Linked DNA regions of Lonchura striata. The main gene of each other region encodes a partner of the protein of the gene in region 2 in a complex. Links are inferred from orthologs where the notes say so. Each region holds a gene or a part of one and is shown on either strand. Other genes may lie near its edges. The genes, in order: STK24, STRN, STRIP2 and STK26.

Region 1 (7,578 bases), on a different chromosome or scaffold from region 2:
CATTCACCACCTCTCTGGGCAACCTGTTCCAGTGTTTCATCACCCTCCTTGTAAAAAACTTCTTCCTTCTATCTAATCTAAATTGACTCTATTTTAGTTTAAAACCATTAAAGGTCATGCTTAATGGATCCATTTAGTGCAGAGAGTTTGCTAGTCTGCTGTCTACACAGACATTAACCTGAGATAAGAACTGATGTCTCCATTATAAAATGTGAAATGTGAGAAGAAGATATAGAAGGTATGTTTTCTTCCATTTGCATATGTTTGGTTTGTGTGACAAGGGGCTAAGAAAAAGGCTTATAAAAAGCAAGATATAATGCAATGATGCTCTTCAGGGGCAGAGGCATAGGACAGTAAAATCAATCTCATGTTTCTTAATGAGCTCTAGGTCTCCATCTAATTTTAATTGTCTGCCTGGAATAAGAAAATACTTTCAGGCACTTATATTCTGCTCATTATTAATAAACAGCATATAATACTCAAGATGTTTCTTCCATTTCCTGCCCCATTCTGGCTTATCCACTATGATCCTCAGTACTATAAGAAAGTGAATTTTCTTCTATTACAAATCTCAAAAACCTGCCGTTTTCTATGCATGATAAGAATAACATCACTGCAGGAAGGGAAATATATACAAAATGGCACGTTTTATACAAGCATAGGAAAAAAAAAAGGCTTTTTCTTTGGGGAATGTAATTTAATAACCAAATTTTTTCACCTTCAGCATTCACAAGACTTAGAGTAGAATGCCATTGTGGATTTCCAGCTCTACTTCTGTAATTGACAAAACCTTTTTCTGACAAGTGGCTTGTTGAACCAGAACATAAATGCACAGCCAAATCTATCTGTAGAAGGCAAGCTGTGTGCTTTTGAAACTACACAAGCTTCCTCTGCTGGAAGAAATACACAGCTGCATGGCATCTTGAGAGGAAGAAAGGCTACATCACAAACTTTGTAGAAGGGACACCCTTTCACATGGAAACTGAAAACTGAAATTTTAAAATTTTGGTGGAAACAGAGAAAACACCAATGATTTGTAGGTGTATCATTGCTGCATAGTTTGGAAGTACACTAGAAACTAATCTTGTGGTGCATATACTGCCAAAGGCAGGGAAAATATCAGTCCTGGGCAACACAGGGATATTTTTTGTTATTTATAGAAAATGTGCTTTTTATCACTAAAGATATATATTTTTTAAATAAAATTGCATCCTACCCTTGTCTGGTTCCTTGGCTCTTTCCTGGGAGAGTAGTTGCTGTTTGAGCAGAAAGGAAAGCTTAAAGTTGCTGTTTGATCTCCCAGAAAGGAAAGCTTAAAGGACTTGGTATTGATCTGAAAAGAGAAGCCATAGTCAAGATGACTCAGTGTGCAGAAATGAACATTACTTATACCTTTGGAGTTTAATTCACTGATTTAGATATTGCATATTTATAAAGTTTTCCCAGAAAGCTGCTTTTCTGTAGGGTGACATTGAGGATATTTACAGCACTCATATTCTGACATTCTTCTACTCTGCTGAACCCCCATCTGCTGGCATGTCACTCAGCAGTCACGCACTCTGAGATTGGGCTTTGTTTTAGTTTCCCCCTCATGATGATTGGCAATATGAAACTGTCAATTTTCTTTAGTCTCTTTCCTAGCTCAGTCATGGATATGCTGAGCAAGATGGGTCCCATCTTGGTCCTGCGACAGCCTACTGGTAACACCCCCCACTGTGAAAGGTTTTTGTCTTTTTCTTTCCTCTCCAACCTCAGTTAGAGACCCATGTGAGGACTTTCCCTCTTGCCCCAAGAACACTTAAATTCTTAAAGGTCCATTTGTGAAGATCCTTGTTAAAGCTGCTGTGAATTGTGTGATACAGGCAAGAGTCACACTTATTATTATAAATCAAAAAAGAGCTGGGTACCTGGTGTACCTTTCATCTTAGAAAACACCAATGACCTTACATTGTTCATTTGAGAAGTTTCAGTGTTTGTCAGTAAGGAAAACATTTTTTCTTCACACATATTTATAAGCAGAATTTCACAGTCACAGTCTTTACAATTATGTAATATTTTTCTTTTGTAACTCTTATCTTACTGTTAGAGATGGAAATGTTACAATTTATGGCTTAAACATAACCAGCAAGGCAGAAAATCTCTGCATATGCAAAGTATTATGCTAAATTGAAAGCAAACCAGTTATTGAGAAGTTGATATGTAAAATAAATTGAATTTTTGAATGCTTGGAACGTCTGGCTTCAAAAAGATACATCAGAGATCTGTCTTAATGATAAGAAGTGTTTATTTCCGAAGTCTCAGTCATTGTATTGGGATGGTTGGCTAGCATAACATATAATCATTCTATTTAACAAATAATTCTTCAAGACTAGCCTTTCTTTGGACTATAATACACTTTTTTTTTTCTCAGAAAAGATTAAAAAACCCACAAAAGGTTGAGAAAACAAGAGGAAAATTTGAAAGGCTTCTGTTATTAAGTCTGTGAGATGGAGCTGAAATTTAGACAGAAAGACTAGCATTTACAAAATGAACAGCAAACACACACATTCATTATTTTAAAATTACATTCAAAACAATTATTTAAAAGTTTCTACAAGTTCTGGGAGAAATTGGAAGTGTATCATAACATGAGTTACAGTATAAAATTTAGAAGCTGACAAGATATTAGACCTTCTAATGCATTGTTCTGACTTCATTAGAACTTGGACTAGTATCTGGTTTGTGACTGAAGAGTTTTGAATCTGCTCCTTTGTTTTCCTGCATTTGGCAAGTAAATCTGCCCACAGAGTTTATTCCAAAGCCCAAACAATATTTTTTTCAGGCACAGAATCTTGTTGAACATATCATGCATAACTTCAAAACCTTGAGATTAAATAAATCCACGATGGTACACAAACAACAGGAAGACCTCACAGTGGCCCCAGGCCAGGAGCTTACACGGTGGAAGTCACTTCAGAGCAGCGTGGGAAATTTTCGGTCCTTATGCGCCTTGAGCTAGAGAATCTACCAAGTCAAGTATTTTCCTTGGGAAAATTAATTATGTCCCAAAGAATATACTCATGGACAGAAAATAACAGTTGTATACCTTTCATAATACAAAAGAGAAATTTTTATTTTGATTCCACACTGAATGTGCAACTGCAGAAAAAGTAAAGCAACTAATAAAATCCATAATGGCCATATAGGAAAAAAACCCAACAAAATAAAACTGCATAAACAATAGTAAAACTGACATTTTCTCAATTAGGATTTTTAATATTACGTGATGTAGCAGAATTTCAATGATATTCATGAGACAAAGGAAAAGGTTCACTTGTAGCCTACTGACTTTTTCCCTAGCAAGTTAGAAAAACTTACTGCAAACAGTGGAGCAATTAAACATTTTTTTTTTTTTAAGAACATTGCAAAAATGCTTTAGAAAACAATCAAAATAGAGAGTTTTGATACTGATTCTCATAACTGTTATTTGATTTTTGATTGAAATAGAACACAAATGAAAACACTTTACATTTCTTTGAAAATTACATACCAAGCCAAACCCCACAGAATCTCCATTCTATCCCAGCATTAAAGAAAATTTCAACTCCTTCATGAACAACTGAAAAAATAATTTCAATATTTCAATTTTCAGTTTCTAGCCATCATCCCTTTTTGTTTCACTGTACTCAAGGGCTGATATATTTAGTTTACCAGTTTACTTAGTTTATTTTCTCAGGTAAAACACCAATGTGCTTGTGTGTGGGTACACTTATCTACCTGCATAAGGCTGTTGGCTAATTTTATTTGAATAATACTTTGACATAGACATCTTAGGAATATTTATGTATCTCCAAGTTTTAGGAAAACCAGATTGGGCATTAACTCAGCCACATAAGAAAACAAAGATTATCCAAACTATAGGAAAAACTTGAGTGGAAGTTCCAACCAAATTTTCAATAAGACCATTTTCTATTTTCAAATGTTTCCTGCAGTTAAGAGATTTGTACAGACTCTAGTGAATTATCAAGTGAAAAGCAACTTATGCTGCAGTGGATGCTGACATCATTTAACAAAATCACTTGGAAAGACAGCGAGCCTCGTTATCCCATGGATGCCAGACCTACCGGCTGACAGGTTTCAAAAACTTTTAACACTCATGAAGCTCCCTACGTTTTTTTGCCGGGGCGGAAAAATGAGAGAATTTTAGGACATTCCATGGCACACGGGAAGCTGTGCGACTGCGCTGTTAAATTCCAGTTGTAACAAAGAATAGAACATTGTCGAGTTCTCGAGGGATTTGCATGTACGCAGAACTCCTGTGTGGGAGAGACCTCAGTGCTGACCCACTGTGCTCCCGCTTGGGAACTACAGGAGAAGCACGACTGGCATTTTGGGTTGCGGCTTCTGACAGGAAGCCAAGCGCTTCCTTCTGCGGAGCACCGGGGTTGCGGTGCGTTCCCCGGCCGTGGCACCGGCACCGGCACCGGGACCGGGACCGCGACCGAGCCCGGCCCCGGCCGCGGGGCCCCGGCCGCGCCCATGGCGGCCCGCGGGCAGGTACCGCGCACGGCAGGCGGGGCCGCCGCTGCCGCTCCGCCCCCTCCTCCTCCTTCGCCTCCTCCTCCCGCCTCAGGTTTGTCATCGTGTCGCCGGCACGGCCCGGAGGAGGAGGAGGAAGAAGAGGAGGAGGGATGAGGAAGCCGCTGCCGCCTTTGCATCCGTGACGGGGCCTGGAGAGCCCGGGCTTGGGACGGCCCCTTTCCCACCGCCGGCGCACAGGCGCTGCTCGCCCGGGGGAAGGGCCAGGAGGAGGAGGAGGAGGGCGGCGGTGCTGTGTGAGAGGGAGCGTGGAGATGAGCTCAGCTCTGTGCCCTGGAGCCGCCTGAGGAGACTCGGCTGCCTCCCGGCCTCCCTCGCCGCCGCCATGGCTCACTCCCCCGTGCAGGCGGGGCTGCCGGGGATGCAGGTGAGCAGCTGCCCCAAGGGCGGGCACGGACGCGCACCTCGGGCCGGGCTGGGTGCAAAGAGGGGCATTCCCGGCGCTGGGGGGACAGGAGAAAGCGGCTCTTGACCCTGGCCCGGCCGGGCTGGGGGCGGACGAGCGGGATGGAGACGAACCGTGCTGTCAGCGCTTGGCGTGGCGCCCAGCGAGGTCCCTCCGCCCGGTGGATCCCTGCCTGCCTCTCTCCCTCCATCCGCCCTCGGCAGCCGCTCTGTCCCCGCAGCGGGCGGAGCGCGGCGTGCCGTGTGGCCCCCTCCCCGGCCGGCAGTTCTCCGTGTTTTAATCCCTGAAGCCAGCCACGGCTCAGTGGGCGATTTTCGGCCCCGTTAGTTTGGGGTGCGTGGGGGAAGCATGCATAAGCCAGTCGGTACAAGCAGGGCCTGGCAATGTTGACCTTCAGCGCATGCTGCAGTGCCCGTGTCTGTGGTGCTGCTCTGAGGTGGGTGCTCGGGGATCGGGTTTGGCTCCTGTGTTTGATTCCGAGAGTTCGTCAGCTGCTGTTGTTACACGGTGGAATTTGCTCGTTCTGTGTCTTAACTATGTATTTGAAATAACTAGTGTGGTTTTGTGCTGACTGAGCTGGCTTAGTCTGAGCTCGATTTTCTTGATTTAAATGGCAACTGCTGCCAGGAAAACATTAAGGTCAGTGGTATCTGTGTGTTGCTATACTAATATTCCCCACATCCGATTAGAAACTTTCTTGCCCTTATCTTCAAAGGGACAACTTATGAATGACATGTAAGAGTTTCTCTTAAATTTGTCTCCTGGATTAAAAGTGTTTGTGCATCACTTGGTTAAATATGGATTTACCATAGTTTGTTTTATTGTGAGTCAGGATTCTAAGTCATTAATTTCTTTTCTTTCCAAAATCTGAAGATTTGAATTGAAAATATTACATGCTTAGGCATAGCATGAATTATGTGCTCATACATAGTAGTGGATGCCCTGTAGCCTACGTAGGCCCACCCTCTGAGCTAAGTAATCTATTGCTGTGTAGGTCCTGCTGTTGAGAGTTCCAGTTCACCTTTCAAATATGAGCAGTTTGCCGATTGCCAGAGACAAAGAAATGGTTTCTTGATTGACTATGGATATTGTTTGGGCTTTTTAAAAATTCCCTTGAGACATATTAGACTAAAACAACTGCCTGCTTTGAGACAGAACCTATAACACTTTAGCATTTAAAAATCAGATTTGTAGCTGCTTGTAAGTGAGAGAACGAAGATTATTCCATCAGTATGCATGTACTGATGATGTATGCCACTGCATGATCTGAGGACTTGTGCTTTTTATTGGCTTGGTTTATTATTTGGTTTGTAGTACTGTTAGCTCTCCTGAATGTGTGGCTCTTCAGGGTTCTTGTTAGTCCACATAATTTGGGACTTTGCTTCAAATAATTTTATTCAAAATGGTGTTCTTTTTCTCATGATTTTTATTCTGTTACTGTTTGAGTTGCTCAAGTGTAAACTTTCATAGTCTAAAGAAAACCCCCAGAACACCAAACCAGAGATCTGCCGATAGGTAGAGGCATAAATTCTGTGAGCAATGTGAATGCTGCTCACTAATTTTCTGTGCCCAGTTCAAGATGTCTGTATCCATTTCCATTCTGTCAGAATATATAGCAGTTTTATAGTGGTCTGTTCTCAGTACACAATTCTCTTTGATTTCACTTCCAAATAAATGTTCAAAGAGTAAAGTACATACCATGTGTGACAGCTGCTTAGATGAGAAAAAGATTTGGGACTTTTTTGTTGTGTAGAAGAGAGGAATATAGCTTAGTTCTCTGGGTTATAATTAAATTGCCTAAATCACGGGACCATCTCTTCTTTTTCTGTAGTGTGATCCCTCCTCCCCACCTACCAGCTTCTGCCACAAACGGTGGAAGCAGTGTCAGTGACAAGTTATGCAGCTTTCTCTGACATTCTTTGCTGTACTCACACAAGAGAGCAGCCATTGTGCTTGTGTGAGCAGGGTAACTTCTTAACCCCAAAAAATCACTTGGAGGGACATCACTTTTATTAACGCTGTTTGGCCTGAGCATGGTAGTGTCAGTAGAGTAGAGGAATGAATGATTAATATATTTCCACCTAAGCAAGATGTCTGATCCATGTTTGAAGAGTGATGCATAAAAAGTGAGTGGGTAGAAAGTGAGCCAAAGGAATGAGAAACTGTGGAGGAAATGTAGGATGGTGTTGGAAGGTTGTCAAAACCTGAGATTTGCTGTCTGCTGCACAATGGGCATGCTGTAACCTGAATTGAAATAGAGTTGGGTTTTGACCTAAATTTCTGTCTGTGCAGTTTAAGTTCAGACTTGAAGTTTCTGTTGTTGTTGTTTTAAGGGCTCTGTGTAGATACGAGTTTGAGTGTGCAGGGTGAAGATCCATCATGACTAAACTGAGGATGTGCTGTCTTGCTTCTTCATGCCTCATGAAGTGGCCTGAGGAGAGTGTGTGTTTGCCTGTAAACGTGTGAGATTCCTGCAAGACTGGCTCAGAGTAAGTGTATACGACCTTGATTTTCAGACTGGCTTGCATTTCAAGGCTGTGGCAAGCTTATGGAGCTTCTTTAAGGAAGCTGTATTTTAAATCAAGTACTTTGTT
Region 2 (7,503 bases):
CAGCTTACTAATTATGCTTACATAGATATAAATACTGAAGTCCTCTTTTGCCTTGAATAAGGAAGATTATATAAGAGGCAACAATAATTTCAAAAGGTTCAAGAAAAATAATTAGAAAATCAGAATAAGCATGAATATTTGCCAGGGGAATAAAAATACAGGCACTGATAGGGAAAAAAACCTTGGAAATGCAGTACTAGACCAATAACTAAGAACAGATTAAACTGCCTGGCCTGCTAACTCACATATATTATGAGCTTGTGTGTGTGTCTCCTGAACAAGTACCACAGAACACAACAGGAAGGTATTCTACCTGACCATCACATTTAGTTCCATGCAGTTAATTAGAAGGATAAGGAAAAGAGAAAATAAAAAGAAGCCCAGAGAGGAAGAAAAGGAAACATGGAAATCACAATGGGACTGACTTATGAGGAGTTTTTTGGAGAGAGGCTAGAGTGGAACTAACCAGCAACTACAGAGCAGAAGCCAAGCACAGTAACACTGTAATAAGGTAGTAAGTAATAATGTATCCCAAGTATTTCAGTATCATGGCTGGTAAGGAACCAGAGATAAAAGAAGTCTACCTCTTAGAAACAGATGAATTGAAGGAAAAAAATTACAGGATACCAAGACCACCATACTAAATAGGTCGTTTGCTCCACAGGCTCCCAAGAGTGGATGGATAATCTAGCACTGGAATTTGCACTGGATAAAAGTACAATGAGGAGTACTGCTTCTTTATCTTGGGAGAGAGAAACCATCCAACCTCAAATTTCCATTATTCTGTTAAACATTTCCAAATATACAGGCCAACAGAAGGCTTCAGAAGGAGCACAGACCAGGTCTTTAATTAACACTGCTCATGCTTCAGGTGTAAAATTTCTAAAAGCCACCCTGTAGTTGCTGAACCCATACCACAAACCTCTCACATGGATCCAAGTACATTCATCTGCAAATGGTCACAGCAGACGTTAACGCCTGATGTCTGTAGAGATAGCCAAGAATTTTGCACCTTCCTGAACATGACTCTGCAGCAGATAAATGCTGTTACAGCTCATGGCAATGCCAGCCACAGCTAATTATAACTTTATTGAGATGTTTTGGCAAGAGTCAAAGGCACTCAAGCAAACAACTTGTGATGGGGTTATCTGCCACTGATAATACATGACTTCTGCTAATAGTCTAAATACTCAATTTCTTTCCTCCTCTCTCATCTGTAACACCAAAATTTTGAGGGATACCTGGGGGAGAAGGAGGGATGTCATGCTGATGAAGAACACGATAAATATGCAGAGTGTTATTACTTTTAATATACTGACAAAATTTCCTAGGTCTGTAAAACAGATTTTTTTTCTCCAAAGCAATATTTGATATCTGAATCAGCTATGAATATATGTCAAGATATTTATGGGCCTCCACCAGATATACGACACATGAGGTTATTCCTATACATAGCTAAGCTAGTAACTTTCTACACAGTATTTACTGGATGTAGTGAATAGAAATATGATTCAGTTACTAACCAATTTCTCACTGAATCATGGAAGTTAAAATAAAAATTACTTTCTTGTTCTCATGACCACTTATTTTAAATTCCTACAAGGGAACTCTCATTAAAGAATGCCACACCTACCACTCTTCTCAGAGTGGTTGTTTGATGTTACTGTAGAAAGTAAAATTTAAAAGATGGAAAAATCAACCCAATAACCAAAAAAATAGAGAAGTGGTTTGCATTAGTAAACAGACTCAAGACTCTCTTGACAAAGACTGTACTTTCAAGGAAAGCCATAGAAAGAACAGATGGATAGGAAGAAAAAGACAAAGAAAAGAGATCTAAAAAAGAAACCCGTAGACACTTTTCCGTCTCAAACATGGCCAAACTAAAACCTAACAGTGGGTTGCTAGAAACATGGCCAGCGTTAACGTTTAACACAGGGATTTTCTTGTAAACAACACCAAAGAGGAACGAAGGCTGCATTATCGACTGTTATTGGTATCTGAGTATCTGAGAGCGACGGCTCTAGGCCAGCAGTTCACAAGTACTTCAACCACAAGATCACTATCAGTCCTTTCATGCATTAATGAGCATATCAGCCCCATCGCTTTTCAAACGAAAACGTGCCCCATAGTACCGAAGGGGACCCAGCCGGTCCCACGGGCCCGGCCCCCGTGCGGGTGGGGCGACACCGAGGGCAACCGCGGCACAAGCGGCGAAGCCGCGGCACAACGGGGGCGCGCAGCTTGCCGGGGGCAGATTTCAGCAGGGCTTCTGAAACTGGCGACACGCTGGGGCGGCCGACCCCGAGGGGCATCCGGAAAACTCAGTGGAGGAGGTGAGAGGGGCACAGCCGCAGGGGCCGCTCGCCGCCGGGCTGGGCCCGCTCCCCGCCGGGCCGCCGCCACGTCCCACCCGCGCCCGGCCGCGGCGGGGGGCGGCCGCCCTCGGGGCAGCGAAATAGCCCGGCCGGCCGCTCCCTCTCGGGGAAGACGACAAGCTGTGGCAGCGCCCAGGGCGGCCGCTCCCCCTCCAGCTACGCAGAGACGAGGGACACGGAGGGGGAGCGGCCGCCGGGGCCGGGCTGTGGGGGAGCAGAAGGTCGCAAGTGTTACCTGCAGCTCCGCCCGCTCCGCCTCCCACTCGGCGCGCTCCGCCTCGAAGCGGCCCCACTCGTGCTGCAGGAAATGCAGGATGCCCGGCACGCTGTATTGAGCCCGGGACGCCGAGAGCGGCGCGGCGGCTCCGGAGGCTGAGACTCCCCCTCCTCCGCCGCCTCCTCCTGCCGCCGCCGCCGCGGCCGCCGCTGCCGCCGCCTCGCCCGGCTCCAGCCCCGGTCCGCCCGCCGGCGGCGGCAGCAGGAGGGCGTTGTTATTGTTATTGTTGCTGAAGAAGACGCCGGGCCCCGCTTGCTCGTCCATGGCCGGGCCGGGTCCGCCTGGCTCGCCGCCGCCGCTCCCGCCGCGTCCCGGCAGCAGCAGCAGCAACAACCTGGGCGCGTCCCACCCGCCGTCACCGCCTGACAGCCGCCCCCGCCCGCTGCTACGGTGGCCCGTCGGGGACAGAGCCGGGGAGCGATTCGCCCCACCGCCTCGCGCGGCTTCCTGGGAATTGTAGTTCCGCTGGATGGCGGGGAGGCTCGCCGCCCTCTTCCCGCGACGTCCGTAATCCCAGGGATGGCGATCGGACGGCTGAGCTTCAGCGCCGGGACGTGCGGTCCGATCGGCTGGGCGGGGGTAGTCCCTACGGTGGGAGTACAGGTTAATGGCACCTCCACCTCCGAGCGGGACTGAAACGCTTGGGTTGTCCCGCAGCCCAGCCCGGTAACGCGGGAAGGGCAGGTGTCTCGCAGCAGTTCCCGCATCTCGCAGATGCTCCCGCCAGGCCCTGCCCTGGCAGCTCCGTCTCTTCTGCTTCGTCCCTGTTCCGAGCAGCGCTCGGCCTCTTACTGTCAAAAGCTGGAAAGCCTGCCCAAGGCTACAGGGGTTTCTTGAACATCGTTTCCGACCTTGGGAAGGAGAGCGACACAACATTTTTCAGGAATGGACACGCTGCCTGTTCTGCGAGGACAGGGAAAACAGGAGCGTATGGGATTGAGGGCGGAAGGTGTCGGCCGCACTGCCCTCTCCCCATGGCACTAAGGGACGAAGCTGGGCTCCCTTTCCGCGCCATGTACGCCCGAGCAGCAGAGCCTTGCTGAGGGCAGACGCAGGCGCCTCTCCATCGGGCCGTGCCGAAGGCCAGCACCGTGAAAGACATGCTGCGTGCCACCAAGGCGGTGCCGTGGGGCTCCCGAGGGCGCCGGGAACGCGCCCTGCTTGCGCCCTTGGCCGTGCTCCGGCGCACCGGGAGCGCCCCGCCGCCTTCTCGGGCAGCGGTGCCCGGTTCTTTGTGACTGCTCCGAAACCACAGCCGCCTGCTTCGTAAATAATCCTACCCGCGGAGCTTGAGCTGTGGCTGGCGTAACATCTCTCTGGGAAAGACCACTAAGGAAGCTTACTTAGAGCATACGGAGAGCAGCGGGGAACGGGAGCGAAAACTCGGGACAGGGAGTGTGATCTGGGGGACCTCGGCAAGGAACCCGTGCAGAACAAGGCTGACCCAGAAAAAAGGTAAACAGCAGAGAGATGAAAGATGTGAAGGGGAAGCGGAGCAAACGGTTTCATTAAAAAGCACATTTAAAAGGCTATTGACAAAGAAAAATATGAAAAGGAGAGTGACAAACAACAATAAGCACTACGGCCATTGCGAGTTACTTGAGTTTTTTTAATCAAATGGAATTGGATGCCAAAATATTTTGTAAAACCACATGACTATAACTTTAGTATCAGGAGCAAGCAGAGAAGCAAACGAGGACTAAACTGGGGAAGGATGTATACAAACAAGAGTTGTGCATGTTTTTTTGTGCCACACAAAATTCAAAGAAAAACCTCTCCCTTCTCTATTCCTCTACATCTATCTAGTGTAATTTTCTCTTCTGCTAACTTTTTTCTATAGTTCTACTGACTTCTTAGTTATGCTTGATTGCTACACTTCTCTCCCCTCTTCTGAGTTTTCAGATATCTGATCAACTAGAGGCTAACCAAAACTTAAAAGTGCTGAGAGAAAACTTAATGTAAACAAAACTATACACGATTATAGACAAAATCTTTCTAAGAAGTCATTAATTCCTAGACTACCTGGTGGAGGGGAGGGAATCTAAAACAGGTTATAAACTTGTTTTCTGTTTTACTTGCAAAATGTTTGTGTTGAATTTTGAACTGGAAGTTTCCTTAATACTTTCAAATGAAAAAAAATTGAAATTAGAGTATGCGTGTCCTCACTTTAGTACTAAAACATTCACTGTGAAATAAAAGCATTTCTGATTTTATGTTAAATATTTGCACACAGCCAATTTACCATAGGGCAAGAGCACTGTCTTGACCATTTTGCATAGATACTCAAAGGGATATTAGATAAGGTCTTAAAGGAAAATAGAAAGCATAGAGGCAAGTATGTATGCAAAAATAGTGATCTACAAATATTTTAAGCAGATATTAGTCATATTCAATTCTATTTACTATCCCTTTGTTATATTTTCAGTTGAAGCATCTGAAATATGCAGTTTTTACAGAGTATACAGAGAAACATCAGAGTTGAAATTCAGCAGGCCTTGGTTATGTTACTTACTTCTCTCTATAAAGCAAAATGTATGGAAAGATGCCTATAAAAGCCCATAAATTTAACAGCTGTGTCAAAAAATCCATGTAAGTCAGTCCTATATACACAAGAAAATACATAGTTCTGTACTTCTGCCAATAGGAAGGGTGAGGCCTGGCAGCAGACACACACTGGGATTCCCTGGCTGTGATGCAAGGTCAGCACAACACTTGAGCCCTAAGCCCCAAAATCTGCACATGAGACTCAGAGGTGAGGGGAGCCACATGCTTTTGAAAAATGCCTGGTAGGGAAAGGAAAAACTGGAGGAGCCTGGCCCTCGCTTGTATTCTGCCCCCTGAGTCAGTACAGTGCAATGTCCTCCAGTACCTCTGCTTTCCAACTTGACCAAGGACTGCGGGTATGATCTAGCAGGAAGGCTAAATACCTGAGTCTGAACAAAGGGCAGAGCACTGACTGATCACATATCCAACCAGTCGCTGGCAGAACTGGAAGACTGCAAACACAGAGCACATTATGAAGGCCAAGATCTATACCTACAAATGCAGATAGAAGGCAGTTCTCTTTATAAACTCAATTTCCAGTGCATTCTTTACATTCAAAGAGATAGGGGATTAGATTCTTTGCATCCTTTATTCATTTTCAAGCATGGGAAAGGATTGGAAAGAGATATACACCACATAAATAACGACAACTCATTAAGACAGCATGCTTGATCATTCACCTTAAGAAAGGCTGAAAATTTTCAATTATTTTGTTGTGGGATTTTGGGTATTTTTTCATGCAAGCTGAAACAATCTACGAAGTCCCCTTCAGTATTATTTTTTTTTAATAAAAGGAAAAAATTCATACTTCTACACTAGAAATTCCCCATGGTAGAGGGTAAGTACTTCATAACAGTTTTTCCTCTTCTCTCCATCCCCACTGTGCTAGTGTGTTGGGACAATGGCAGGATAACAATCACCAGAATTCAAAAACCACTCAAGGGTTTGAGATAGCTTTTAAAAAGAAATAAAACTATTTAGATACATAATAATTTTTGGTGAATAATTTATAACAGAAATTCATAAATATGATCACAATTTCCTAAAAATCTATACAAATACAAGTAACACTACTTCCCTTGTAATGCATGGATTTCAAATAATTACACAAAGCTCCATCAGACAGTCTTTCACATACAAATTACACAAAATTAGACATGTATGTAGGGATAATGCAATGCTTCTGACTACTTAATGGTCCAAAATTAATAAAAGTAATTCAAAAAAAGCTAGTTTTCAGTTTAATTGTCGGGGTGGAATGTACTGTGGGTGCTGGTTGCCTAGCAGCTGCTTTTGCTTTGCTGGCCTGGCTTGCTCGGACTGCAGTTTCTAGACGTGTTTTCAATTCAGGAGCAGCTCCCATTACTGTCTTGAAAGCATGTGGATAAAGTGGACCAATGTGCATTAGATTCTGAAGTGCAAACTCGTGAAGATCCTTAGATGCTGTAGATGCAGAAGCAAAGGCATTTTCATTCAGTAAATAGGAGATCAGAGTGGGAACGAGAAGGGCAAGCAACTGTACTCCTAAAAATGAAAGAAAAAATGTAATTACCATATCAGAGAATGAAACAAAAAAAAAATTATTAGTTATTACACAGATAAGGAAGGGTAATATTGTTTTCAGAACTGACATTAGAAACTGTAATCAAAAAAATTATCAAATTAAAACAAATGAAATGTAGATGGCTTCCTGTGCTTTGATCACTCTACTCTGTCTTACCAGGACTGGATTTAAGATTTCTATTATTGTTCATTACAATTATATTGATCCTGATGCTTATTTTGAGATGCTTTTGCACCATCCAATTGCAGATCACTGATGAAAGATTTTAAGATGTAGAGTACCTATCATATTAAAGGATTTCAAAACACTTTTCAGGCAGACAGAAATGTTATTCAATTGAATTTGAGTATTCACCTCCCCAGCGAGCATAAGTGAACTGATACCAGAATGCAAGTGTTCACAAAAAAGTCAGGGACAGTTATCTGCAGTTATTTATGCTGGACTGGTCTGGGAGATCCTAACTCAAAAACCAGCAGGGCAGCTATACTTCAGCTAGCATGACCTAGTAAGGCCACAGCCCAAAATGGCAAAGGGATCAAGAGGGTTGACCTTGAGAACAAAAAAGGCAGCGAAACTTAAGCAACAAGGCAATTTTTTGTATCTAGTAAGAATTTAAGTATACCTTTGAAATGTGTAACCTGGTAATTGTACATTTTAAGTCCAAAGAATTTAAAAATTAATGGTAACTCATTTATCTAAATTGTTTTAGATTACCAGAGTATTAATTATTTTTCATTATAGGT
Region 3 (7,166 bases), on a different chromosome or scaffold from region 2:
ACAGCAGGAAGGGGGTGGCGCAGCCGGAGCGGTGACAGGAGCCCTTTGTGCGTGGCAGCAGCTGTCACCCAGACGTGGCAGATGCCAGCGCGATGCCACCGGCTCGGTGGCAGCTTTATTTTTAAAGTTTGACGGAGGATGAGGTGGCACAGAGCGGCCTCGGCCCCGGGGCTGCTCCCACGGGCTCAGCTCCACGGCTCCTTCCTGAGCACAGGCTGGGCAGATCCCCAAAATAATCATAATTTTCAGTAGGAGCCCCTGGATCGCTTCCCTTTCCACATTTTTTAGCCAGCGCTGCCTTGAATTTCCACTGTGAAAATGAAATGGCTTTGCACAAATGTGGATCTGCTTGGGAGGGTGAAGCCCAGATCCTTTTCCTGCTGGAAAAGGGATTTTCTTGGCAGGCAGAGAGCACCGGAACACTCCCAGTTTGGGGATTACTGGGTTTTCCCAGATCCTGAGCTTTTTTTTTCCATTGCAAAATCCTGGTGCTTCCCCGTGGCTGTGCAGGGATTCCCTCTGGTTCGGTTCTCTGTGCCCGGTTTTGGTGCCTGGCACTGCCCAGCCTTGCTGGGAGCGAGGTTTGTCCTGGAGAGGTTGGGATCCGAGGGTCTCGGGAATTCCTGCGCTGAGGGGGAGCCACAACCCCTCCAACTTCCATGGGCACCTCGGGGGCGGCGAGGACCGAGTCCCTTCCTCAGCCATTTCTGTCCTTGGCGTCTCCCCCTGCCAAAATCCACCGTGGCGATGCCGGGGCAGCTCCTCATCCCTTCCCCACTTGGCAAAGCCCCGTTTTTCCTTCTTTCCCCAGATACTGAGTTCCTGCCGCCGCATCCCGGAGAACCGCCAGGAGCTGCGACAAGCACCCGAGTCTTTCTCAACTACTGTACAGGATGAAACCGCGCAAGCTTCCCACGCTAGAGCCGGGCTTGCTGCCATAGTCGACAGTGTGTTTTAGGTTATTTATTTATTAAATTAGGATACTGTTCACGTGGCCTCTGCCACTGGTGTTCGTCCTGCCGCGGGACTGGGAGACGCTGGATTTTCTTTCCGTTCCTTTCATTTTCCTCTTTGGGTTCGTTCTTTTTTCGGGGCTGGGAGGAGGGGGAAGGCGAGGAGGAAGCTGCTGGAATCGAGCCGTGGAATAGTCCCTTATCCCTGCTCACCCCCGCGCACGGCGGGACCCGGCCTGGCAGCCAGGGAATCCCCGGCCGTTCGACAACAGAGCCAAACTCCTCGTGGGCTCCGGAGCTGCCTCGGGAGCAGAGAAGCCTCTCCGCCTCTCCGTGTGCTCTGGAAGTGCCCGGAGCCGTGCCCGGCCGGGGAACCTCGCCTTAGCACTGCCCGGAGCCGTGCCCAAGGGTCAGCGCCGGCCCGGGGAGATCCCCGAGCGCTCCCCTGGCCGCAGCCCCGCGGCGTTTTCCTGCTGCTGTCGTTCCGAGTGCCAACCTCTCTGGATCAACCAAAGTCGTGTTCCCGGCGGGGCCGGGGCAGCCCCGCGCTGCTGGAAGGGGCTCCTCGCCCACCGATGCTGCTCACGCGCCGGCGGCTCCGCCACGCCGAGCAGAGCTCGCCCGGCCGCCCGGCTGGGAGGACCCACGTCCTTCTCCAGCTGAATTTCGGAGTTTTGTTTTCTGCTCACATTTGTACGAATCTGGAATTCCCCTTTGGAATGTATGAGACGCCCGCCGGAGCGACCCCCGCGGATTCCGTGCGAGGGGAGAGTTCAGCATTGCTGAAACCCTTTGGTCACCTCAGCATCGCTGAAACCCTTTGGTCACCTCGACGTGTCAGAGCCGATGGAGACTAAATTTGCCAGAGTTCCCTGTTTTATCCCAGGATGTCCCAGCTGAGCACAGGACAGCGTGACCCGTAGCAAGGTGACTCCCCAAGTGCCGGTGTCCGCGCGGAGTCACTCCTGTCCCTCGTGGAGAACGTGATCCTGCTGAAATAAAACTGCCCAGCCCCCTGAGCACAGAAGCCTCTGTCCTCCCTCTTGGCTCCGGAGTCTCTCCTCGGCTGCAGATCCGTGTTTTGTCCTCCTGGGCTTCTTTGCTATCATGGAGAACTTTTTTGTGGCAGCTCGTTCACGCACAAGGAAGGGAAAACGGAGGAATTGCATCCTCACGTCCTTCCCACGGCTCTTAGGAGATTTGGAGTCAGGTTGGCCACAAGTCGCTCCTCTCCAGAGCAAACGCTCCCATGTGCCGGCTTATTCCAAGCTTCTCTTTGAAATCTCTCAAAATCAGGAAGGAAAACCTTGAGAAGAGCTTGAGGAAACCTTGAAGAGGGCCTTGGGAAGGCGTCAGGGCTTTGCCAAGGCCTTGTGGAGACCTTCAGGCTTCGAGAAGCTTCCGGGAGACTGATTGCTAACCACAGACTCGCTCTCTGCTCGTTCATTTTTCCCCGATCCCGAGATGTTCTGGGAAGAATCCCCTGAGCTCTTTGAAACATCACACCCAAGGCTTTCTCCCCAAGCTGGATCCTGGTCTGTCAGCCCCTGCTGTTTTCTGGGAGCTGCTCCTGGCCCAGGGGAGATGCAGCTGTGGGAAGAACGGGAATCCCATCCCAACCCAAGCACAGCCACTTCCCCCTGGAAAAGCCCCTTTCATCCTGACCCCTCTCATCCCCAGAGCTGCCTCCCGCCCTGTGCCTGCTCTGCACAGCCCCAGATCCCTCCGTGCCCTGTTCTAACCTCCTTTTATCTTCCAGGTAGATAGGAAGGAAAAAAATATATATATATTAATACTAAAATCCCAACTGGCTTTTCCCACCTCGATTTTTAAAGCTCTTCTCCATGTTCTGCTTCTCCTGTAAAAGCTTATTGGCTCGCTTGGCTTTTTTCCTAATCAACCTGGAATCATATCCTATGATCATCTCTAAATTAAACGTGTAATGGGGTTTGGTTTCTTTTTTTTTTAAATGTAACACATTTTTCAAGACTTAGGAAAAAAGGAGATTTTAGGTAACACCAGCAAAATCGCATAAAGGAAATTAATTCTGTTCTGAACTTTAGAGATAATAAGACAAAAGTCGTCCTCAGCAGTGAGGAAACGAAAACGTCGCAACCATAACATTTCAGAAGGATGTTTTAAATATTAATGTCTGAGTGATTGTATTAGATCAGCAATAAAGACTCTGTAATCTCAAAACACAAATAAAACATTGGAAAACTCAGCCTCTCCTGAGCGTCCTTGGGGTCAGGCGGGGGCAGACCGGGATTTTGGGGCGGAGGGGGACAAGGAGGATCAGGAATGCTGGTGGGATGGGAGGGGTTGTCCCCAGAGCCTTGAGCTCCTGCTGTTTCCAGATGATTCCAGCTGGGGAAGCGGCTCCGGGGCCGCGTCCTTGGGGCAGCCGGAGCTGTCTGAGCTCCTGGGCTGCTGTGTCCTTGGGAAGCGGTGGGGAGGATCCCGGTGCCGTTATCTCCTCTGGAACAATCCCGTTATCTGCTCTGCTCCCGCCCTGCCTCGCTGCAGCCACGGGAAATTCCGACCCGACCCTTGGCGTTTCCAGCTCTCCAGAGGCTCTGAAGGGATGTGGGACATGAGGGGCACCGAGATCGGCCACTCGGTACCTCCCCGGCCACAAACCTGCACAGTCACCCCAAAACCAGCCGGCCCCATTACTGGCTGTGGGAATGGAAATCCTGCTCCAGGGCCCCGGGAGCTGCCTGGCACCGAAACGGGGACGGCGGGGCTCGGACGCCTTGGGGTGCCTTGGGTGCAGCCCCACAGGTGCCCCCCGGCCCATCCATGGCCACCCCCTCGTTACCCCACGGGCACCTCTGACACCCCGGCTCCCGCCCTGCTGCCCCCTGCGCTCCAGGGACACCCCACAACGCCCCCATGGCAGCATTCTGGACTCCAAGGACACCCTACAAATCCTCCTTCCATCCTCCCAGCAGTGCAGGGACACCCTACGAATCCCTTCCCCAGCATCCCCCGTTCCCGACCCCTCCAGCCCAGCCCCGGTCCCGGGATCTCCCCGGGATCATCCCGGCCCCTCCGCCGCTACCCCGGGCCCCGCCCCGTCCCGCTCCGGACCAATGGCGAGGCGGGGGAGCGCCCTGAGGCCACGCCCCCGCTCCCGGCGGACCAATAGGCGTGGCGGGGCGTGGCCCGGCCCGGCCCCCACGTGCTGGCGGCGGCCGCGGGATGGAGGCGGCGGGAGGCGGCGGAGCCCCGGGCCCGGCCCGGGCCCGCCCGGGACAGCCCCAGCCCCAGCCCCAGCCCCAGCCACAACCACAGCCACAACCCCAGCCACAGCCCAAGGGCCGGGAGCTCTTCAGGAGCCAGCGCAAGGAGTCCGAGGTAAGAGCGCGGAGCTCGCTGCCGGCACCCCCCGGGCTCCGCCGGGACCTGCTGTGCCGTAAGGGATTCCCTGCTCCGGGGCTGGGGTTCCTGCGGAAGGAGCCTCATCCAGGAGTGGGGGTGCTCCCGGTCTTGGGGGTGCTCCCCGGCCCCAACTGGACGCTTTAGGGGTCCTGCGGGGGTGGCTTTAGCGTCCTGCGGTGCCCAGCCCGCAGCGGGAGTCCCCAGGGGCGCTCCGCGGCACTGCCACCTCCCCGCTCCACGCCCAGACGCAGCTGCAGAGTTTTGGGGTGCTGGCTCAGCCCCAGCACCGGCACCTCCCAGCCCCACGCCCAGAGGCGGCAGAAAGGTTTTGGGGACCCACCTGGGCACTGGGCTCCCCCACACTCTGCAGGTTCCCCTTTGCCCCTCACCGAGGTGCGGGTGCCGCTGTCCCCTCCTGCCCCAATAACTCCGGGGCGCGGGGGAACCACCAAACCCCGCTGGGCTGCTCTGCCCCAGCTGCGCCCGAGCGGCTTCGTGAGTGCCAGGCTGGGGAAGCAGGACCGGGATCGCCTCACCGGGATCCCACTGGGATCTGATGTCCCCGGCCACCGTAAAGCCACCTCTGGAGCCCCCTAACCCCAAAAGGGTCCCTGGGAACGGTGTCCAAGTCGTGCTCTCAACTCGTGAATTTGGGGTTTGCTTTGCTCCCCCGGCTCGGTCTCTCAACGCGGATTAGGGCTGCACGCGCTTCGCCGAATTCCTCGCCAGCTTTAACCGCCCGAGCCTCCCCGCCGGCTGGGCTGCAGAAATTGGGTGAGAAAACAGCGTTTCTGAGCAAGAAGTGCTCATCCCGGAGCCGCGCATCCTCCTAGTCTTCAATATTAATCGCCACGATGCGCATCAGTTGCAGCCCGGCTGCCGAGGAGAGCTGCTGAGACTCGGAATGGGGAATTATGTTAATTTTCGTTGATTACCCATTCATGTGTTCCCTTACCCGGGGCAGGGCGGCGCGGTGCCGGCCTTGGGTCGTCTGGCTGCGGCTGCCTGCTCGCTGCCCCGCCGGAATCCTCCGGCCAAGTTTCATGCTCCAGTTCCTCATCCGCAGGGGAGGAGGGGGAGATCAGGAAGGCAAAGCCCGGCCCCGAGAGCTGTCAGATCTGCGGCGCTGAGGACGGAGCTCAGGGATCCGCAGCATCCTCCCGCGGGCTTTTGCTTTGAACCGGCCCCGGGGTTTGTTTTTAGGGCGTGCAGGGTTCTGAGACGCATCAGATATTCAGCGGCGTTTTTGTGTGGTGCCTCTGCTTTCCGTGCGATTTGAGAAATGCTGTTTTTACACACGGCTTCCACATTTCCGCCGTGTTTTAAGCGGCCGCGCACGGACTCCCCGCTCCAGCCCGGGAGATCCATCACTGCGAGCCGCTGCTCCGGCGGCTGGAGCGGCTTTGGCGCAAAGGCTGCGAGCGCTGGCAGCCATCCCGCATCCCAAAATATCCCCAGCGACGTGCCAGCCCCCTCCTAACCCCATCCCGCTCTCCGCAGGGCTCCGTGGATTGTCCCAACCTGGAATTTGAGTACGGGGACGCCGACAGCCACGGCGCTGAGCTGGCAGGTGAGGCAGGTTTTGGGGTGCTGCGTTGTGATTTCCAGGCGCCCGGCGGGCAGGGAAAATGAAAATCCCGCCGGGATGGGGGATGGATGTTGAGCGGTGCCGTCCCTGCGGTAACGGAGCAAGTGGGGTTTATTATGAGAGAGCCGCTCGCTCCCTGGGGACGCGGAAGGGACGCGGGGGTTATCCCCATCACCCCGGGCACAGCGCCGGGGCTGGCAGGAGGGCGGAGTGTCCGGGGACAGCGGGAGGTGTCACCCTTCATCGGGCGGCTCTGTCCTTGTCCCCTGTGCTCCTGCTGTGTGGCGGCTCCAGCTGCTTCTGCTCCGTAGCCCCCGGTCCCGAGCGCGTTCCGGAGAAAATGGGGTTATATTTAGCTCCGTGTATCTCCGCCGCATGAGCTGGCCTGGCAAAAACACATTTCCTCTGCAAGGGATCCTTCCTCCTTCCCTGCAGGATCGCTTCAGCCCTCCGTGGTGCTGCTCAGCACCTCAGGAGTGTAGGGATTCTCTGGGAACGGGTAGGAATCCTATAGGAACAAGTAGGAATTCTATGGGAACAGGCAGGAATTTCAAAGAGCAGGTGCAACATCGTGTCCCTCCAAGTCCAGCCCTTATTTGCAAGACCCAAAATGTCTGAGCTGCTGGGTGGGGGATCAGTGCAGGTCCTGCCTGGGTGTTCCTGCATTCCCTTCATTCCCAAACTCTTAAGTGAGACTTAAAAACCCCAATGAAATTGCAAATGCAGCTGGAGCGGGAGCTGGGAACAGCCCCGCCAGGACACGGGGACGAGTTTGGTGGCTTTGGGTGGCCACAAGGTGCCCTTGGAGCTGCAGGAGAGCTCAGAGACCAGTTGTGATCTCTGTCCCGTGTCCGCCGGGGTGCACAGGAATTTGGCAAGGAATTTGGGAATGAGGAGGAGGGTGAATCCCCTCCATGTCCCTGCTGATCCCCTGTCTCCACCAGAGCTGTACAGCTACACCGAGGAGCCTGAGCTGAGCCACAACAGGAGATGCTTCGAGGAGGATTTTCACACTCAAGGTACCAGCTCTGGGCTCAGCACCCCTTGCCTGGGGCAAGAACGGGACCCCCAGGGCAGCCCCCGGCTGGAGGCCGTGTCCCTTTTCCAGTGCCGGACAGGAGGTGGCTGGAGCTGGACAGGGCTCAGCAGAAGGCCTACGTCATGCGCCTGCTGGATGGGCTGGAGGTGGTCAACAGGGACAAGAGGCTCAGAGTGGCACGGGCCATCCTGTACCTGGCACA
Region 4 (7,216 bases), on a different chromosome or scaffold from region 2:
AAGTTACTGTGACATTACTGAATAAAACCTCAAACCTGACAATCAAGCTCACTGCAAACTGTGCTTCCTGTAACCAGGACACCTTAACTGTGCTCATTATCCTTTCCATTTTCCATCTCATCTTGGATTCTGCATAAAATGCCATAATTTGTGGTATCATGTTCAGCTTCAGACCACTCATGTTATACATACACTGAGTACCTGGATTTTACTGAATGGGCTTAGAAGTTAGGCAGCTGGCTAAGTTAACTCTGTACAATTGCACCAAGGGGAGCCTTTCCAAAGGAGCAAGGAAAATGAATGTGTTTAGGAAGTTGTCTGCAGAAGCAAGAATTGTTAGGTATAAAATTTGGTTTTGTTAGGGACACAAGACAGGTTAAACAGAATGCAACCACTACATAAACAAATGGCTCTGTAACTACTCATAAGGGCAACAGATAATACCACCTTTGGGTCTGCAATTGCTGTCAGGGGACTAAAGTCAAACTGCAAGTCCACCAAAATAACTCTCTGTGATTTTCTGTAATTTTCCATGTTTGAGTTTTTTTAAAGGGGACCCGACTCTTCATAAGGTGAAAAATCTTAAAAGAGTCAAAAAAGCATCTGATATACTTTGGTAATAAAATGTCTTAAGGTCTGGTTTTGGAGTATGGAAATTACATAACATGTTTGTTTTTGTGTTTTTCTTGATTTTTTTTTTGTATAATCAAATGTAAGGGAAAGCATAAGATGACAGTAAAGCTGAAAACTTCAAACTTGTGACATTCTCTGACAATATCACTGTGACTATTCCACAGTGGTAGTTTTAACATAACCATTACATCTTGCATCACAGAGGAACCTGTTTATTCCTTCTTTAATCAATCACCACCCACCTACTTTAACACTGAGCAGAAGCAGGCACGCTTTTACCATTACTTAGATGATCCTGCCTGAATAGTCCAGATAGGTTAAAAAACCCCAAAGGAAACTCCTCCATCTCAGACTGTCATGAAGTTTTTGTGTTTGGGTTAGGGTTTTTTAAAAATGAAAACCCTCTGTATTAGGACTCTTCTAGAAGGATGAGCAGATTAATATCACACCAAATTCTATTTTTTTGTATTCTGAGGGTTTCAGGACTTGTGTAATCACGTTCATAAAAAGATGGCCACCAAGGGAAAAAGTGTGTTTTAATTCTATGCATCTGGATTTATCTAATAGTTTAAAAAATGTTTTTAACATACTCATATATGTTAAGGGCTGTGAGTTAAACTACTAACAATACTAGTGGGGATAAGGATGCTACTAGGATAAAGTTTATTGGTGTAACAATGAAAAAAACAGAACCTTAAATAATTTCAAGGTCCTTTTGTGTTGGCAGTTACAGAAAATAGAACAGCAATACATTAAGCAGATATAAAAATAGGAAATTGACAAACTAGAATGTTGAAACAGAAGTTTCCCAAATACAAACACACTAGAAAGCCCAGAGGCTGTAATTAAAGAAGCTCAGACTAAAGCCTTTAAATCTTTTATAACAAAATTTCTTTAAGATGTTCTAATGCAACAGTTATTCTGACACAATGGAACAACTAGGCTGAGCAGATGTGGCTTGTGATCTCTTATAGAAACAGAAAGTCAGTGAATTACCACAATTTAACAGATTTCAGAAAGCCTAGAAATTATTAGAAAATAGAAAGGTAAACTAAACCATAGCATTGTAACAGGCTTATACTTATAAATATGTAAATACTGTTTATATATCAATTCTACACTTTGTAGAAGTCATAAAGTTACCTGACCAAAAGATATATTTCTGTTCTGAAGCCTCCTGAACTCTTTACTGTATCTCTCACGTACACAGAAATGTATCATAAATGTTTCTGTATTTGAACTGAAAAAAACCTCCGATGTTATACAGGTATGACTATCCTAGAAGTTAAGAGAATGCTCAAAAACACTGACTGGGCTGCCAGTACCTGACAAGAAAAAAAATCAGCACTGAAATTAGCTAATCTTTACATTGATAAAGATATCTGGCTAAATTTGTATCAGATTGTCCAGTGGAGTAAGAATGAAGAGTCAGAGGTATTCCACCTTTCCTATGAAAGTCAGTAACACACCAACTTGTTTGTTTCCTAAGCAGGTAACACAAACATAGAAAAGTGACACCAGGCCTGATTCCCAGGCGAGGAGAGGTGCAGGTTTCTGACAGACTGCGTTCGCCGGTGCTCTGTCCCCACCAGACCTGGCGGATACCACCTCTCCGTGAATCCCAAGGTCCTCCGGGAAGCTGCTCTACAGGCCCAGCGCCAGGATGGTGGGGAAGTCCTGCTGCAGGTCCGCCTGCCAGCGCGCCTGCTATGTCATTTACAGCGCACCCACACACCCTGCGATTAACTTCACTTCGCCTTTAATCAGTTTTAGAGGCTCTTACGTGCTCCTGGATGCGGCGCGGCCACCCCTGAACAAAGGGAGGCATGGAGGGAGGGGGATCCCTTCTCCTCCGCCGGGGTGCAGGTACGCGGCCCCCGAAGCCTCCCGTTGCCTCGGAGCAGCCCCTGCTTCCCTCCCTGCCTCGCTCGCTGCCCCGGCGAGGCGGCGGCCCGGCCTGCCCCGGCCCGAACGCGGCCTCCCCGCGGCGCTTCGCCCACCCGCGGCCCCCCGCGCCCCGGCGGCGGCTCCGCCCGGTGCGGGCCGCAAGCGCCGCTTCCGGAGCCGGGCCGGGCCCGCCGCCTCCATTTTGGGCCCGGTGCGGAGCTCACCTGCATGCCGGGCACTTGCACCGCCACGGGCGAGTGGGCCATGGCGGGCTGCGGCGGCCGGGCGGGCGCCGCCCGCTGCTCCCCGATCTCGGCCTCCTTCTCCTGGGCGGCGGCGGCGGGGCCTGGAAGGACAAAGCGGCGGGGAGGCGGCGGCTTCAGCGCGGGCCGCGCTCCCTCCTTCCCTCCCCGCCCTGCCCGCCGGCCCCCGCCCGCCGCCGGCTCCTCACCTCGCGGCCGCGGGGCTGCGCTGCGCGAAGGGCGGGCGGGGGTCGCTAGCGCCGCTGTCCCCTGCCCGCCGGGCTCCCCGCAGCGGCCCTGCCCATGCCCCGCTCCCCGGTCCCGGCGCGGGGGCGGCTGCTCGGGGCCCCCCGGGGTGGCGGCTCTCGGCGCGGCCGGGGCTGGCTCAGAGCGCCATGTCGGGCTCCGGCTGCAGGCGGCGGCTGCTGTGCGGCGGCTGCTTCCGTCTCGGCTCCGGCCTCGCGGGGCGGAGCCGCCGCACGGCCCTGGCGTCACGGCGCCCGCCTCCCCGGGCGGGCCGGGGCCGGGGCCGGGGCACGGCCGAGGGAGGGGCCGCGGCTCCCCTCGGCCTCAGCACGGCCCGGGTCGCGGCCGCCCGGCTGTCACAGAGTGACCAGCGTATAGCTTGGAAAAGATTTCTGAGGTCATCGAGTCCAACCGATGGCAAACACCACTTTGCCAACCAGACAAGGGCACCGAGTGCCACGCTCAGTCTTTGCTTAAACACCTCCAGGAACGGTGACTCCACCGCCTCCACGGGCAGCCCGTTCCAAAGCCTAATCACCCTTTCTGTGAATAAATTCTTTCTGATGTCCAACCTAGGCCTCCCCTGGCACAGTGAAGATCTCATCCCCTTGTCCTGTGGCTGGTTCCCCGGGGAAGAGCCCGACCCCCACCTGGCTCCAGCCTCCTGTCAGGAGCTGCACCGAGCAGCAAGGTCCTCCCTGAGCGTCCTTTCCTCCAGGCCAAACACCCCCAGCTCCCTCGAGAGCTCTCATCACACCCGTGCTCCAGGTGCTTCACCCATTTCTACTGCCCTTCTCTGGACCCAGTCCAGCACCTCAGTGTCCCTCCTGAACGCAGAACTGGACGCAGCACTAAGGTGCAGCCTCTCCAGCAGCAATGCTGACCCCTTGGGTGCTGTCATGGGGTCCCTCCTGCACAGTCACAGCGCTGCTCCTTGGCCCCACTGTCCCCAACACCCCTGTGCCGCTGGCTCCTGCACCCCGGAGACACAGGGTAGTAACCGGGTACAAATAACTGAGGGAATATTTGATGGGGTTTACTTGCTTTTGTGACAAAAGTGGTGATGTCTTCTTGTCTCAGGGGTGCTCCTGACAGCCAGCTGTGGCAGAGGTGGTGAGGGCAGGTCCAGTTGGTCTTTGGAGGTTCAGCTCCCAGTTCAGGGTGGTTGGCTCTTTCTTGGCTCCCCTGGGGGTGTTCCCCCCTCCTTGGGCAGCTCTCCCCACTCTGCACCAGCTGCTGCAGGGCTGTCCCAACACATACCTGTGTCCTTCACCACCACCACCTGCTTTCCTGGTGAGTTGGGCTGCCCCAACATTCTACCAGGGCCTAGAGAGGGGAAAATAACAGTATTTTTGAAGTGACTTTTTTCCCCATTCATGCATGAGTCACACATTAGTGTGTGTGATTCATGTTCCTATACATGTAAATTTTGCCGGTTACTAAAGCAAATCTCAAACTGACATCTTTTATGGCACTAGTCTTCCCCAGAAGCCCATTGACCAAGAGTACAGAAATCATGGATCCATCACAAATATCCTCATGGGTATGCGAAGGCTTCCCTCAAATTCACAGGTTTCTAGATCTAAAAGCCAAGAAAAAGTAAGGTAATCTGGAGGTGTTGGGTTGCTGGCCATACCACAGCTATCCTGCTGAGAGGGTGGGTCCCTTCAGAAAGGATGTGACAGCAGGCAGTCTCCCTCTCTTAGGACTTAGAGGAATGTTGCACTGGGCAAGGAACACAAAACACCTCTGTTTAAGGTAAGGTTGTGTGAAAACAAGCTGAAGACAAGAATTTCAAAGTTAGGCAGTCTTTCCATCCTTAACTCACTGTGGTTTGAACCAAAAAACAAACAGTAATGTTTGTCAAAGACGGGCTTGTGGATCGTGGTGGAATACTTTTTTTTCAACTTGCCAGTTTGTTAAGCCTTTACTGTTACTAAAGTGTTTACTTTCTTCTGCACCTTTTTAAAAAATAGCATGACTTAAAAAGGCTTCTGTGTTTTAGTTATACATCTAAGTTACTTATGAGCCTACCTGGAGTCCATTTTAATGTGCGGAATGTTTAAGGTAAGTATTTTCTGAAAGTTGATACCATATAATTAAATTCAAAAATGTTTTCCATTAATAAACTTCTGGAAAGAAATGGGGATTTCTACTGACAAAAATCTTTAATTATGTACAGTGGTTCAGCAAATAAATGAATGAATATTCACTCATGGTACTTTTGAATCCTGGCCTGATTCATTCTGCTCAAATATACTTAAATCACTTCTCCTGCTAGCTTTTAATAATCTTTAGAATATAAGCCCTGAAAAAATCCTGACAAATGAAATAGGATGATTTTTATTTCATGCTGCTACTGCATTGCAGACCTGCTGCTCCTCTTCTGGTTCTGAGGCTTTGCTTTTCTCTTTCTATCCATATATTACCTTGATTTTTCTCTCCAGATTCCTGCTAATTGTTTATCTCAGCCTTGTCTTGATGCTATACATATTTTCTCCCTGTTTACTTTGTACCAGAGACTACTAATTGCCAATCCATTCTTCCTATTTTGGGGCCACATACTGTGACTTTTGGCCTTTTATGTATTTCTGACTTGCATGCAGATTAATATAACATGAAAGGGACTGTAGTAGATTTATTTAAGAGAGTTCTAGTTCTGGTCTTGCAGGACAACTGTGAATCATGTGATAAGGTATTCTCCCCAGAAAGTACATCTATAGCTGTCTTCTGTGCATGGCAGGTTGACTAAGGAACTGCAGTGACAAAAACACAAAGAAAAACATCCTGTGAAAAGTCAGGTCGGAAAGCCCAGGAATGACATGGTGAGCTGAGCCAGGAAGGAAAACCTGTCAGGGAATCTTAGGTAATCAGCTGGTCATGCAATGACTGAATCATTGAGCCAGGCTGTGAAGTGAGGTAGACTGGCACCATAACATCTAAGAAAAGGGCTGTAATATTGTATTCCCCTCTGTAATTAGCAAATTCTAGTTTGTGCATTAAGAAAGACAGGTGGTCAGTTGCTGATATTGCTCTATGAAAGACCTTTCCTTCTCCCTACCAGCCTGCCCTTTAAATACTTGGTGCTGCTGTTTTCCAAGACTTAAAATGTGTCTATAATTCACTTAGGACAGCTCCCAGGGCCTCACAGTAGTAATGTGACCCAAGTCAGACCTTCAACTGTTTCATGTTTTTTAACTACTATTTTTGTTTGCTGGTGTGAAAATATAATTATTTTTACATCAGAAGACTTCAGGGAGCTATCAAAACCATGCAGCTTTTGGAGAGTGCCTGCACCATGTTAGTTGCTTTAGACCTACCACAAAAAGTGGTAGAAATGTCTCTTAAACTTTCAAACATAAATGAATAAAACAAAAATAGAGTGTCAAACATAAAAATACTGTATTTTACAAACTCCAAGGACTCCTTACAGTGGTATACTGGGGGGAGGGAGGGAACAGGTGTCTGATCTGGTTCTAGCAGAGCTGATGCAAACTCACACATCTGTCTAAAAATATGATGCCCAGTTTCTATGTATCAGGATGGATATGGGTGTTGCAAACCCTTCAGTGCCTTTGCAAAGTTCAGCTGGCTGGTGTTGCACTGACCTGGGCTTGTGGTGCCAATCCCATGCAATGCATTTAGAGGCACCCACAATTCTCCTGCCTGGCACCTGTCTCTCAAAAGAAACAGCACAGCTAAAGGGTTTCCTATAGAAGTGGCATACAGCATCCCAAACCAGTAACTTCAAATGCCTTTCATGTTTTTGAGTCTGAAACACCTTGCCAAAGATGTTGTGCAAGCTAAAAGTTGACTGGAATTAGGGGGGAAAAAGAGCCACATATTTATTTTATTAATGAGAACATCAGTGATGTCAAAGGAAGAATTAAAATGTTTTTTTAAGAACATAATTTCTCAATCCATTGACATAAATCAGTCTCTGATTCATGGGCATTAGGTAAATCACTTTGTCTTCAAGGCAACTTATTTAGGATCTTCAGAATTTCCAGCACTAGAAGCTGCTGATACTCACTAACTCAAGGGAGACAAACGTAGTCCTTGTCAATCCCTTATTACAACTTCGACATCTCTGTATCCAATAAATAATTTAAAATTACAGAGCCTTGAAGCTGGACTAGAACCCAGACCATTGTACATTCACTTCTGCTTACCACCTTCATTCCCATGCCCAGAACACATCTTGTCTC

Evidence for each region.
Region 1: STRN (region 2) and STK24 share a complex: the UniProt entries of both Homo sapiens proteins name them as parts of the core of STRIPAK complex. The link is inferred for Lonchura striata from reciprocal best matches to the Homo sapiens genes STRN and STK24.
Region 3: STRN (region 2) and STRIP2 share a complex: the UniProt entries of both Homo sapiens proteins name them as parts of the core of STRIPAK complex. The link is inferred for Lonchura striata from reciprocal best matches to the Homo sapiens genes STRN and STRIP2.
Region 4: STRN (region 2) and STK26 share a complex: the UniProt entries of both Homo sapiens proteins name them as parts of the core of STRIPAK complex. The link is inferred for Lonchura striata from reciprocal best matches to the Homo sapiens genes STRN and STK26.

What each region holds. Positions count from the first base shown.
Region 1 is NC_134604.1:77,899,003-77,906,580, reverse strand, and holds the start of STK24 (serine/threonine-protein kinase 24), read left to right. Parts: upstream 1-4,574; 5' UTR 4,575-4,903; coding exon 4,904-4,945; intron 4,946-5,198; exon of another isoform or gene 5,199-5,384; coding exon of another isoform or gene 5,385-5,420; intron 5,421-7,578. UniProt on the Homo sapiens protein: Serine/threonine-protein kinase that acts on both serine and threonine residues and promotes apoptosis in response to stress stimuli and caspase activation.
Region 2 is NC_134605.1:33,757,792-33,765,294, reverse strand, and holds the start of STRN (striatin), read right to left. Parts: upstream 3,010-7,503; 5' UTR 2,917-3,009; coding exon 2,611-2,916; intron 1-2,610. Other genes in the region: HEATR5B (HEAT repeat-containing protein 5B), read right to left, coding at 6,416-6,720. UniProt on the Homo sapiens protein: Calmodulin-binding scaffolding protein which is the center of the striatin-interacting phosphatase and kinase (STRIPAK) complexes.
Region 3 is NC_134607.1:72,230,578-72,237,743, reverse strand, and holds the start of STRIP2 (striatin-interacting protein 2), read left to right. Parts: upstream 1-4,157; coding exon 4,158-4,313; intron 4,314-5,837; coding exon 5,838-5,907; intron 5,908-6,869; coding exon 6,870-6,944; intron 6,945-7,033; coding exon 7,034-7,166. Other genes in the region: AHCYL2 (adenosylhomocysteinase 3), read left to right, coding at 812-818. UniProt on the Homo sapiens protein: Plays a role in the regulation of cell morphology and cytoskeletal organization. Required in the control of cell shape. Calmodulin-binding scaffolding protein which is the center of the striatin-interacting phosphatase and kinase (STRIPAK) complexes.
Region 4 is NC_134616.1:7,630,369-7,637,584, forward strand, and holds the start of STK26 (serine/threonine-protein kinase 26), read right to left. Parts: upstream 3,016-7,216; 5' UTR 2,972-3,015; intron 2,867-2,971; 5' UTR 2,787-2,866; coding exon 2,745-2,786; intron 1-2,744. UniProt on the Homo sapiens protein: Serine/threonine-protein kinase that acts as a mediator of cell growth. Modulates apoptosis. In association with STK24 negatively regulates Golgi reorientation in polarized cell migration upon RHO activation.